Linked DNA regions of Mus musculus: all the other regions are reported to be linked to region 3. The links are microRNA targets in miRTarBase. Many come from high-throughput screens and were not tested one by one. Region 3 holds a microRNA gene; each other region holds the end of a gene's coding sequence.
The links. Region 3 holds the annotated microRNA mmu-miR-186-5p (CAAAGAAUUCUCCUUUUGGGCU, at 2,068-2,089, shown strand). A microRNA usually pairs through its seed, bases 2 to 8, with sites in the 3' UTR of a target mRNA and lowers its output. Matches are read on the target gene's strand: a 7mer-m8 pairs with bases 2 to 8, a 7mer-A1 pairs with bases 2 to 7 and ends in A, and an 8mer does both.

Region 1 (3,101 bases), not on the chromosome of region 3:
ACACCGAATGAACTCAGCAGCTTGTATCCATATATTTATTCATTTGTTTTTTGTATCAACAATGTTTAAAGAGGAGAAGGCAGTTGATTTGGGAGGGGCTGGGTCAGACACGAGAAGGGCGGAAGGGAGAAAAGGGAGGGAGAAATGATGGAATCATATTTTAATTGTTTTAAAAGAATGAAAAATATTGGACTACACGTTATCATTTCAAAAGTTTAAATTCATTTTTCCTTTAATGAATGACACTCTCTCCCTCCCTCCTTCCCTTAACCCCTCCCTCTCACCCTCCCTCTGTCCATCCTTCCCTCCATTCAGAGTAAAAAGTGACTTTAATCAGAGACAAGCAAATCTAGCCTTGGAACAAACCAAAAACAACACAGAAGAGGAGGAGGACGGCCAGAATAACAACCTATAAAGTGCTTCCGAGTCTTCGGGGGACAGTGCTTCGGGGGACAGTTCTTGGCACCTGGCGGGAAAGTCCTGATTATCACACACAGAAGAGCTGACAGGAGTCCCTGCCACTGCCACACCTCATGACTTAGAGAATATGAATGAGTAGTCTTCGAAGTTGGTGGCAGCACTCTGCAGCGACAGGAGAGGAAGAGAGCCCTGGTTCTGAGCTCTTCAGTTCCAGCTTCAGCACGCATTGACTCTGTGACCTTAAGTGAATCATTTAACTGCTTCCTCTGTTTTAGTTCACCGCTTGGAAGGTAGAGGGATATTTCAGGAGAGCTACTCTTTGCTCTGGCTACAGATTGCTCTAAACAGCCTTTATTCTTATTTTTAAATGAATATTTGAATGTAGATTTATTTTTTATTCTTTCTGATGACACTGTGAAACATGGACACTGTACATAGTGGGCCTCTTCAGGGCTAGAGAATATCACACAGGGGCCAGAATTCCAAAGCTTGATTAGGTAGGAATAAAGATGTTCCATCGGGAATAAATACATAGGTTAGATTAGAAGTAGCAAAGACTCATGAGATCTTGAAGTGGGGAACTGGATGGGCACGGAATCTGTTTGCAAGTGCCTACTATGTGCATGGCCTCTCACGCTCTCTTGTGTGAGGTGGCCTTGATCAGTTAAACTTGATTCTGATGAGAGGAGTCATATGCAGAAGTTTAGCAAATGCTGGGAGTTGGGACACATTTTTTTTTTTCCAACATGGCAGTTGTAAAATATCAGACTCTGGTATGTTTGTCCCTTGAAGGCTAATTTTCCTCAAGGTTAGCAGAGACCTGCTTCTCCAGAGGATCAGAGAGTACTCCTGAACTACAGGTAGAGTTACTTGGAACTATTCAGTGAAGTCACACCTCACAGGAGAGATTTCCAGGAGTTTTGGAAGCAAGCAAACTTTCCCTTGAAACTCCTAACTCTACAAAGTGAAGGGGGAAAAAAAGTCAGTTGCTTTTTTGTCAAGAAATATATCACGTCTTTGTGTTGTTTGGCTCTTTATTTTTTGTATTGGTTAACTAAAATAGGGAACAATTTACACATATCTACTCAAGAGTTACACTTAAAGAAGCAGGATGGCTTATAGATCCCAGAGGTCAAATTCAGGGAGACCGATGCCCCCACGTTATGTAATCACTGTGAGATGGCTGGCAGAATTGCCCTGCTGCTTAACATATTGTTGAAGTCTGACACTTTCTTGTCTGTGTATTTCACTCATGTGCAGAGTGTCAGTCACCTTAACTGTGTATGTGTTGTAACTGCCCTGTGCTCACGCATACAAGATCTTTGAAGAACTTCTTCGAGTGCCCCACTGGTGACGCTAGGTAGAATCATGACGTAGGTGGCTTTACAAAGCATGTTTTCAACTCTTGGGGAAACCGAGGCCATTAATGGTATTCCTTATGGAGAGTACAGGCATAGCCATGGTGGCAGCAAGCTGGTCCAAGTGACCAGCTTGATTGATTGATATCATTTGGGAAAGGCAGACATGGAAGTAGAGGGTAGCTACTGGGGCAAGAAAGTTTGTGTCGAAAACAAGAGCTGAGGGTAAGACTGGCATTTACAGTTCGCCAGATTCTGGCGTGGTTGGGACATAGTGCCTCTCTACTAAGAGCAAACACACACACACACACACACACACACACACGCACGCACGCACGCACGCACGCACACAAGCACGCACGCACGCACACGCACGCACGCATGCATGCACGCACATGCACGCACACGCACGCACGCACGCCAGCACGTACACGCACACGCACATTTTTAAGAATCAAAACCCACCTCTTTTATTGAGCTCCTGTCTCTGAGGTTCTGTCTGACGTTTTATTTGTGACATTTTGGTCATATTCCATCACTGTTTATCTCAAAGCATCTGCCCTGACCTTCAGAGGGATGAATGGGTCAAACATAGCAACCCAGAGACGACTCGATTCTGCTCCCGGCTGATACCCCACAAGTGTCAGGGACCACATGCATGCTCCAGTTTTTGCCTTTTGTTCTTCTGTATTGAAGACCCAACGTGTTAGAGGTGTTATGGATTTACCTGCCCTCACCTGGCCCCACCTTCTCCTGGACCTTGCCTGCATCCTCCAAAACAGCAGCTTTCAAATCGTTCTAAAGGCCAGCAGGGCCAGCAGGTCTCAAGTTCAAATCTCTAGTTTTTCTTCCCAGTGGGCATCTTTCTGAGCACGGTTGCTTTCAGAACTGGGGATATGCTGGTGAAAGTGCAGGGTGGGAGGTGGGTCAATGACAGGCACACCGTGTGTGGTCAGTTAAAAGGAAAAAAAAACAAACAAACACACAAAAGAAATCCATTGTGCTTGGGCTGTGGCTCAGTAGTAGAATCTGTGCTTAGCATGCACGAAGACCTGGGTAGATCCCCAGCATCCCCAGAGACAGAATCACTGAATCCGGCTGTGCAGAATAGCTGGTTCTGAGCACCACCTACTGCTGTACCTTTTAAAGAAGAGGAAAAGCATCAATAACAAAACAAACAACAGAAAACTTTTCCAAGAGCTCGTAGTAAATACTTCTTGGTCTTATTTCCTAACTGCAGCTCAAAGTTAGCACCCAACAGATGAAACAGCCACATTTCTGAGAAGGATTAGGGCCGAGAACTTCAGAAAACAGTGGGACTAC
Region 2 (3,082 bases), not on the chromosome of region 3:
ACAGAATTAACTCCTGTCTCTAGAAAGTCGGACGCTCTTTTCCTATTAGCTGGTTTTCATCTTTGTCCTTCACTAGTGCGGTCATAAGAATAGTGAGAGTCACGTGGAGGGAGGATGCTCAGCTTACCAATGCAGTGAGACAATGGTAGCAGAAGTGTGCACACTTTTTCTACTATAGTGTGAAAGAAGGCTGGATCTAAGATAACAGGAAAAAAAAGAGAGAGATTTCTACAGACAGAACAAACAGAGGAGCCTAGGGAACATTCTGCATTAAATATGTAACCTCATTAAATAGTCAACATTCAGATTTACATGGGCAAGGCACCATGAGCGTGACGTGGAGAAGGTATGTCTCAATCTGCAAGTACTGTGGAAAGTGAAGGACTGTGCCCGCTGACATGGTCAGTGGTCTTTATGCAGCCAGTTCAGTGCATCATTAGGCAGGGAGTTCTGTGACCATGGGCTATGTAAGCTGACTCAAACCCTAGCCTGCTGGGCATGGTGCAGCCATGACTCATGGCTGCCCTCTCCATGGTCATTCTGTGTAGGAGACACAAGACACTGTGGGCCAACCAGCTCTCTTTCCTGGGAGTCCAGAGCACTAGCCAGGAACACAAGCCACCCTCCATATGCAGCCTCACACATACCGTTCTCTTTTAAAATGCATAATAAAATACATTCTCCTTTTTTGATCCTCTTTGATAAAGGTGAATCATGTGAAAGGCTGTTAAAAATGTTAAAAGTCTACAAGTTTCCAAGGCCACTAAGGTGCCACCCAAATAATACTGCACAAAATCAGTCTTGGCTTTAAGACAACTCGGCGCTGGTGGACCAGGGCTTTCTGGGTTTTCTTCACTGGCAAGGTATACAAAATGGATCTGTCTACCCCACTGTAGGTTGCTTTCCCAGAAGCCTAGCTCCAGCATGTGCATGCAACATGGTTGGTTCCACACGCATACTCACTTACCATTCAAGTGACTCTTGGGATTTCAAGGGTGAAGTAAACAGAGACTCACAGTTTTGAATAAAACAAGCACATGAGTGTACATACACACAGGTGGAAAGGACACTCGCCTCTTAGCGCAAATATGTGCCAAGGGAAGACAGAAAGGCTTCTGCAGTTCTCACTCATGGAAAGTTGCAACATAAACACTGTAATATACAGCTTAAAAATACATACAAAAATTGCACATAATTCACGGGAGAGCCCGGGCTCCACGGGGAACAACTCTCAGTCACCCACTGCAGCCATCAGCCTTCCTGTGAGCCGAGCTCCAGACCCACTGCAGAGTCTTAGGAGCAACGTGCCACTCACTCTGGGAGGCAGTCTTTCTGGAAGAGGCTCGCACTCCGAGGAACAGGTCAGCCATCTTCGTGACCTTTCCCATTCCCCTTGTCTTCCGGCCATTCCAATAGCCAGCTTCGGGTAGCTTTCTAAGGTGATGGTGACGCTAAACGGATAACCATCTCACTCAGGGCTGTTGCCGACAGCATTTGGCAGACTAGTTAATACCGGCTTACTGACGGAAGGAAGCTGGCCAATTACTGCTTGTGGGGGAAGAAACTCTGACTCAGACAGACACCACCAGGCCTGGCTGCCATGCGGGTAGGTCTGACAGGAATCAAAGAACAGTACTTGAAAGTCTGTTCCCTGAGGGCCCCTGGAGAATTGCACACATAAGGACATTATTTCTTCATATCCTGCCAACTATTCATAATCTCTGGACTATATTTCATCCTGCTGAGGCATCGGTGATACCACCTTTGGTCAGCTTTGTAATGGGCCACCACAAGAAGTGAATGATAAACCCAAACTTCAGCAGGCGGGACAGGGTGAAGGTGAAGGACAGTGAAGCAGTGGCAGCAGGGTTGCGGCTGCCGGGTGGCTCTCTATGTAGGGTCCCCTCCTTTCACTGTATGCCAGAGCAAAGGCTAGTCCCCAGTGACTACAACGGAGCCAAGAAGGATAATGGGATGTCCTCTAGGGAAAGAGGTGGTCACTTCAAGGGAGAGGAATCTGCTGTGAGAGCATTAGTGGGTGACAGCTGAGGTTGGTGATGTGTGTACTGCTAGCTAGTTAATGCAGGCGAGCTTCAGAGTTATGGAAGAGGTGTATGCAGCTTGGTGAGATCATTCCATGGGAGCTGCTCCTTCATGGCTGTGCATTTTTCACTTTTTACCCCACATTTGTGAGACTATTGGGATGACAAATGCTCCAAGGGAAGGTGACTGCATGTTTGTGCAGCTGAACTGCTGTACAGTAAAGAAACACTCAGCCATTCACTGTAGAAAGCTGTAGGTGACCTTGCTGAATGGAGCCCATGTCCCTGGACAAGGGTGGCAGTTGGCTTCTTTCCTTTCCTTAAATTCTGAGTGGATACCAGGACAGGGACATGAGGGTAACATGAGGAAGGTGGAGATATTTAACAATAAAAGCAATGCCCGGGCCATATTAACGGTATTGCAGGATTTTTACAATATAGCTCAGGGAGTCTGTAGTGGCAAAGGCCAGATACTGAGCACAAAGCCAGTCCTCCAGGCTGATGCCCCCCTCTCTGTCCAGGGACTTCTCCGCGAACTTGATCATCAGCAGGGTTCGCTTGATGTCTAACCAGTTTTGGAGCAGAGCGTTCTTCTGTGCGAGGGTTGCAGAGGTGGTGAAGATTTGAAAGAGATCTTCTCGGGGGCCCCAGAGCAGACATTGGAGGATGCCTTTGGCGTCAGAAATGAGGATGCGCTCAGAAGGGTTGGGATTCAGGAGGCAGCTAGCAAGCTGCTGTAGACCCCAGGAGTACGGGGAGCGGAGAGGGATCCGAGGCAGATCTGTGCGCGTGTACTCCTTCTCCTTCAGCTCCGGGTTCTCGTCAAAAGGGTTGGGCAGGTGCAGCATCTCATAGATGAGAATGCCCGTCTGGAATTCATCACACTTCTTATACTGGGTGGCCGTGATGATCTCTGGGGCAAGGCGGGACTGGTCTCGGAGGATCTGGGGGTCCACCAGGTGGCTCTTCTGCTTGGCCTGAGAGAAGTTACTCACAATGAGCCTTGTAGGACAAGCTAAGGTGGGGCAAGGGTCTGCAGG
Region 3 (3,101 bases):
ATTTTTGATAATTTATTTTGGTGTCAATCTTCTGAATAGAGAATAAATCTAACCATGATGCTAATTGCTTCCAGAGAGTCCAGAATATTTGGGTGTTTAAAACATGCATTTGATATTATAATTAAAACTAAACAATGATTTTCTATGGCACAACATTCATTAATGGCCAATTTTTAATGATATTTGAGAAGAAAATATGTTGCCAGCTACTTAATTTGTACTATAAAGCCTAAAATGCTAATTTTGGGGGCTGGAGAAATATACCTCAGTGATAGATACTTGTCTAGCATATATGGGGCCCTAGGCTCAATTCCTAGTCCCTCCCCTCTCCCCCAAAAAAAGTTGATTCTGAGATAACTGTGATAGTCTCTGTGGGAACAAACTAAAAATGGTGTCAGGGATGTCATTTGTGGTTTTCAGAGTGTGAGGGCTAGATTTTCCCTCGGCTCTACAGTCTGTTAGTAATGTAATTCATGTAGAGCACTGGGTTGTTGAATCTTTAGTTCTCTAAAAATGAAGGCTAGACATCAAAATGTGATATAGCAGTTAGGGTTTTCTGCTTACTAGACTGGAAATAGGTTTTCAAATGAAAATGAAAAGTGAACTGGAGAATCTAAATGTAAATGTGACGTTGTCTGCAGTGAGCTGTGAGGTGACATTGTCTGCAGTGAGCTATGGTGCTTGTTACTTCCCTTTTGGCAGTTTAATTGGGCTTGGAAAGTGGTCACTGAAACTTTTAATTTTTTTTTCCTTGTAAACTTAGTCTTTATTACAGTAAGAAGCTTTGTTTTAAGTATTTTTGCTTGGAAAATGCATCTCTTGCATAGACATCTTTTTATGTGAAAAATGCACTCTTAATATATGTCTTTCTTTCAGTGTTCATATCACAAACCTCAAAAATGTGGTCCTAGGGGAAAAAAATGCTTCCGTGTTGTTCCAGGTCCCGTTCAAGAAGCTCTTCCAGTTCGCAGTCCAGGTCTCACTCCGGTTCCAGAGAACATTCCAGATCCCGTGGTTCGAAATCAAGGTGAATGAGGTAGCGCCTCTGTAGAGCAGAGGAGAGTGCTCACAGGCTTCAGACGGCTCCGCTGCTTCTCTCATTGCCCTGCTTCTGTTTGTCCGTTCTGTTGTAGCCCTGGGAATCTAACGCACCTACCTCAGCTTAATCTCACCACACAGTGTTCCCACCGCACAGCGTGCCACACATTCCCACGGTTGATTAAAGGGGGTGGGGCTTGCACATATAGCTAAGATACGTGTGATGTAGGAAGGTGAAGGCAAGTTACTCCACCTGGTATATTAAGTTTATGTTTACAGTTAATTTAAATTTGACATACAAGTGAGAAGTTATTTCTGAGAGGAAGACCAACCATTCCATCATCTAGCTTCGAAACATTTTATATTTCAGGCAAATGTTTACAATAGCTTTGCCTGGTTTTTCTCAGTTTCTAGTGAGTGCTCTATGTATTTACTACATCTCCCTGACATTAAAGAATATTATAAATTACCTGTATAACAAACACCCCTCTTAAAACCAAGTCATGTAGGATGTTGGCTTAAGTATGGTTTGATATAAGCCATGCTGTGAGTATTTCAAAGGAAAATGATTGGTTAAAAAAAAAAAAGGCAATAGAAGCATTAGGCTTTTGGTTCCTTGAAAAACTTTTTTGTACTTGCTCACTATGCTGCCTTCATGTTCAGTCACTGTATTGTTGTGTCCTGCAGGCATACAGCATTTATACGAAAGCCTCTAAAATCTCACTTGTGGCTTTTACATTGACGTTTCCTAACAACTCTTCTGTAGAAAGACTCACTTACTTGAGCCCATTCTAACATTTGAAGGCAGCTGCCATTGAGTCCCCCTGAGGAGAGAGAGGGGTAATGGAGCACTGACCAGTGCTCTGCTGACCAGCGCTGAGTAGAGCAAAGGTTTCTTTCTTATTGCATTAACTATCCGTGCTCACTTCAGACTGTGGAGTCTTGGTGTGGCCCTCTGGGAACTGTAGGACTGAGGTTTACAGGACAGCCTTCATATCCTTCCCAAACATTTAATTGCTTACAACTTTCCAAAGAATTCTCCTTTTGGGCTTTCTCATTTTATTTTAAGCCCTAAGGTGAATTTTTTGGGAAGTTTGAGCTAAATGCCTTCAACTAAAAATATGTAAATAGAGATAAATTTGCTCTTTAAATTACACATTTACTTCCACTTAAAACATGTAAATGTTACTACTTCATACTTCATAGCACAGTTCTCATACAAATCACATTGTAGAGTTGCCATTTTCATTGACTACTTCACAGCTTCAGTGTTCTTTTTCTGGGCCATGTCCCTCAGGTGTCTGTAGCACCTGTAAGAAGTTAAGTTCATTGTCTTCAGCAAGCTTTATAAAAAGTGAATTTTCCTGACAAATGGGAGGATCTATTTTCTGACTATAAAGTCACCACAGAATTGATTTCACTGTTTGTATACTTTAAATTGGAACACTATAAGCAATTATAAAAATATTCTGTCTTAATTCAGTAAACTACTTCTTAATTACCAAGGGTAACTATTTAGAATGGTTTAAAGAGGAAATGATTGTGTGTAAATAGAACTTGTTGATGGTTGACCCAGAAGCCTTCTGAGTAAGCAGTAAGTATTCCCTCCTAAAGTCCTCATAGTCACAATCCTGTTTGCTTTTGGGAACTGGACAGTCTTCACTTCTGCCTTTAATGAAACGTCTGCTTTGTCTCTCAATCAATGAAGATCCAGCTCCAGGTCCCACAGGGGCTCTTCTTCCCCAAGAAAAAGATCTTATTCGAGTTCTTCGTCATCTCCTGAAAGAGACAGGAAGAGGAGTCGCTCTAGACCTTCTTCACCAGCTGTTCGCAAAAAAAGACGAACGAGATCACGGTCACCCGAAAGGTTTGGGTTTCTGTAGAATAAGAATGGGTGTTCTTATGTGTATTTCATAGGTGGACTTTGTAGGCAAGGGTTAGATTTCTTTCTCCTTTGTTCTTTAAATTTTTTATCTTTAAACTTCAAAATTCAGATTACTTTGTTTATCTTGCTTATTAGAAAAAAATTACAGGACAGAATATTCTCTAATCATTTTACTGTT
Region 4 (3,101 bases), not on the chromosome of region 3:
TGTTAATGTAGCAGATGCTGAGGGTCAATCATCAGCTTTTCACCCAAGAGAGAAAACACCATCAGATAACTTATCCAAAGGCTTATAGTCCTCAGCATCTCGAAGCCGGCTTGTAACTAATCACCTCATACTGAACAAGATTCTATTTCTTGAAATTTTCTAGCAAAATACTGCACACTCCACTGAGTTATCCTGCCCTCTTCCTCCAGAGATGCAAAGTACATGATTATAAATGTAAAATAACACGGTTTGTTTGAGTTCTGCTTTTCTTTAGGAATAAAAGGTGTGATGGTGGCTGAGGACAGATAACTTTTACGTCAACATTAATAACATGTGATTTGGGGACAGTCCCTTGAAATATTTCCTGAGTCTTGATAACAGTATTAAGTCTGCATAGAAAGGACCAAATGGAATAAACTAATGTTAGTATTTCAAGCTAACAATACCATAAACTTATCAAGAACCTAGTTTAGATGGAATTTACATAAAATGTATAATAACACTATAATCTATTTGTAGCCAAGATAGAGAAGTTAGAATAAGGAATCCACTATAGATTTGGATGTTGATTTCATTTTCAAACACAAAAATAGTTTCTTCTTTAGAAAGTGCACTAGGATATCCCCCCAACCCCATAACTGTTAACCGATTTAGCATAAGCAGAGAACTGACCTTAGGAACATACCCAAGTTTTATGACCAATTTCTAGATACTGGACCTGAAAGGCGTTTTGATCTGAATTTATTTTCCAACAATTTCAAATATAAGTTCTCATCTGCATGTAGATATATACAGGCACAAATACATTCACACGCAGTCATACAAAAACAATTTAGTTTCTCTATCAGATCAGGGTAATTTTTTATTGCAGGTCTCTTTAAATATTGGCTAACAGAAAACCTATCCCCAACCTAACAGATCTCACACATACACTCAACCACTCCCATACTTCCTCACAGTGAAAAGCTCTCTGACAAGATAGCACAAGGTCTAGAGAGACAATGCTTTAATGGCTGGGCCTTGAGGACAATTCTGGTTGCATTTAAGTCTCAGTGCCAAACGCACTGAGTTTCCCTGCCGATAAAATGTTTGGATCAGTCTCTTCTGGAATCAGGCCATAGAGAAAGCAGGATAATTTCTCCCAGTTTCTCCTATAATCCACAGTGGTAAGACAAGATTTCTTTTTGTTCTGGGCTATCGTTCCCATGATTGTGTGCTTCCCTTTCCCTTAGGAACCACCCAAGTATATCTAAGGAAGAGTTAAGGGGGACTTTTTTTTTTTTTTAAAGAACCACTTTTGCCACTGGCACAAGTTTTGCACTCTACAGGATGGAAAATCCAAACAGGTTCACTGGCTGATGCTCCTTAACATTAAAACAGTAATAGGAAGGAACTACAGAAATGTTCAAAAGAGGAAGTGTACTTCCTTTCAGAGTGTGAACTCAGAAGCCCATACATTGAGGCTTATAGCTATTTGGAAGACAATGATACTGAAATCCGAATAATTCCACTAACTTCTGAACCCAAGACTAAGAGTTATTTCCTTTTCTGAGAACATCTTTTTCATACTGAAAGCTGCTGCCTACTATTTGACCATTTTGGAAGTATATCTCCTTCAAAGGGCCTCTTGTACAATTCCACAGAAAGACTTCTGATTTCTGATGTTTAGAACAGCTAAAAAAGGGAGATGGTTTTGACTCTCCAGCACTAAGGTGCTTGCGTCAGTAGTATTTTGAACACTCCCTCCATAGCTACTTCAAGCATCAGACTATACTTCAGGCTTTTCCACTCTGTTGCTGGAACTAAAGTCTTTAAAATATTAACACAAGTGCCTAATCCAGGAATCACTGTCAAAAACAACACAGGAAGTGATCGTGTGAGGAAAGGGAGACAAGGATTAAGTCAGGAAAGGAGTGCAAGGAGCTGATCCCAAATAAAATAACAAAATTAAGAAAGAAGACACATTATATATGTATATATGAACTAAAAGCAGAAAGTATGAATGCTTACTCTGGTGGGATGCCAGGACAACATTTATAAGGAAAGCTTGATGTGTCATGATAAGGCTCAGCCATTGAGAAATAAGGCAATTTTTTTAAAAAAAAGAAAAGAAAAGAAAAGAAAAAAAGACCAAGGTATTTTGGTCACAGAATGGTCTTTTTCCTCCTCCCAGCCAGCCCCTGTGAAAGCATCTCTATATATTTTTTAATATATATATATATATATAATATAGAATCTGTTTTTGTTAAAAAGTATTTCAATGATCATATATATTTATCAAGGCATGATGGCTTTAGGAAAAGGGGGGGGGAATCCATCATGGGAGAGCTAAGAGGGAAAAACAGGAAGAGGAGGCTGGGGTAAGAAGTGTAAGAAGAACCTGGGATGAGATAAATGCTGATCAAAGGGTGGCACCAACAGAATTTTCACTAATATTTTCCATTTTCAAGGAGTCACCAGTGACATTGGGTGCCACAATCCCATCTCTTTTTTTTGTACCATCTCCCAATTCTTCCTACCACCAAGCACATTAATGCCTCATGGCTCTCTCTTCCAGATGTCTCTTGGACCCATGCTACCTTGCATCCCGGGCTTAGTGGGTATTGGCCCATATGTCTCTGGCACTGGGTGTCTAATCTTAGAAACCATTGCCACTGATATTAATGGACTGCAGCTCTGTCACCTGCATGACGTTGATGCCACTGTTGGCAAGACGGGCAATACCCTCTGGACAGATGGCCTCCATGGCTACCATATTGGTGGTAATAAGGGCTGAAGGAGTGGCAGTGCCTTCTGAACCTGCCCCACTGTCCAGGGGCAATGTGCCCACACTCAGGGCTACACCTGGGCCTCCCTTCTTGTTCTGGTGAGTCTTGATATGCTTTGACAGGTGATCACTCCTCATGAAACGCTTAGGGCACTCAGGGCAGGCAAATTTCTTCTCTCCTAGTTTAAAAAAAAAAAAAAAAAAGATAAATTAGCCAAAAAGCAGTCAGAACAAAGTTGAGGTTGATGTGTATCCTTCTGGACTAATTCAAGTACTCTTGGAGACACGCTTAGTTTCACATATACATTGTTTAGGAATTTCAGTTTGCTTCATG

Region 1: miRTarBase lists Stk32a as a target of mmu-miR-186-5p. Seed matches in the 3' UTR shown: 7mer-m8 at 817-823.
Region 2: the mRNA of Peak1 is a reported target of mmu-miR-186-5p. Seed matches in the 3' UTR shown: 7mer-A1 at 2,262-2,268.
Region 4: miRTarBase lists Sp1 as a target of mmu-miR-186-5p. Seed matches in the 3' UTR shown: 7mer-A1 at 1,285-1,291.

Annotation. Positions count from the first base shown.
Region 1 is chr18:43,314,740-43,317,840 of GRCm38, forward strand. Stk32a (serine/threonine kinase 32A) reads left to right here. Exons shown (of 13, transcript NM_178749.3): 13 at 316-2,742. The coding sequence ends at 415. Among named protein-coding and RNA genes, the nearest start is that of Gm31647, 66 kb to the left of the region's middle.
Region 2 is chr9:56,203,996-56,207,077 of GRCm38, forward strand. Peak1 (pseudopodium-enriched atypical kinase 1) reads right to left here. Exons shown (of 7, transcript NM_172924.3): 7 at 1-3,082. The coding sequence ends at 2,453. Among named protein-coding and RNA genes, the nearest start is that of Peak1os, 36 kb to the right of the region's middle.
Region 3 is chr3:157,542,218-157,545,318 of GRCm38, forward strand. Mir186 (microRNA 186) reads left to right here and starts at 2,062; the gene lies at 2,062-2,132. Zranb2 (zinc finger, RAN-binding domain containing 2) reads left to right here. Exons shown (of 10, transcript NM_017381.3): 8 at 941-1,027; 9 at 2,747-2,905.
Region 4 is chr15:102,430,570-102,433,670 of GRCm38, reverse strand. Sp1 (trans-acting transcription factor 1) reads right to left here. Exons shown (of 6, transcript NM_013672.2): 6 at 1-2,946. The coding sequence ends at 2,639. Among named protein-coding and RNA genes, the nearest start is that of Amhr2, 13 kb to the left of the region's middle.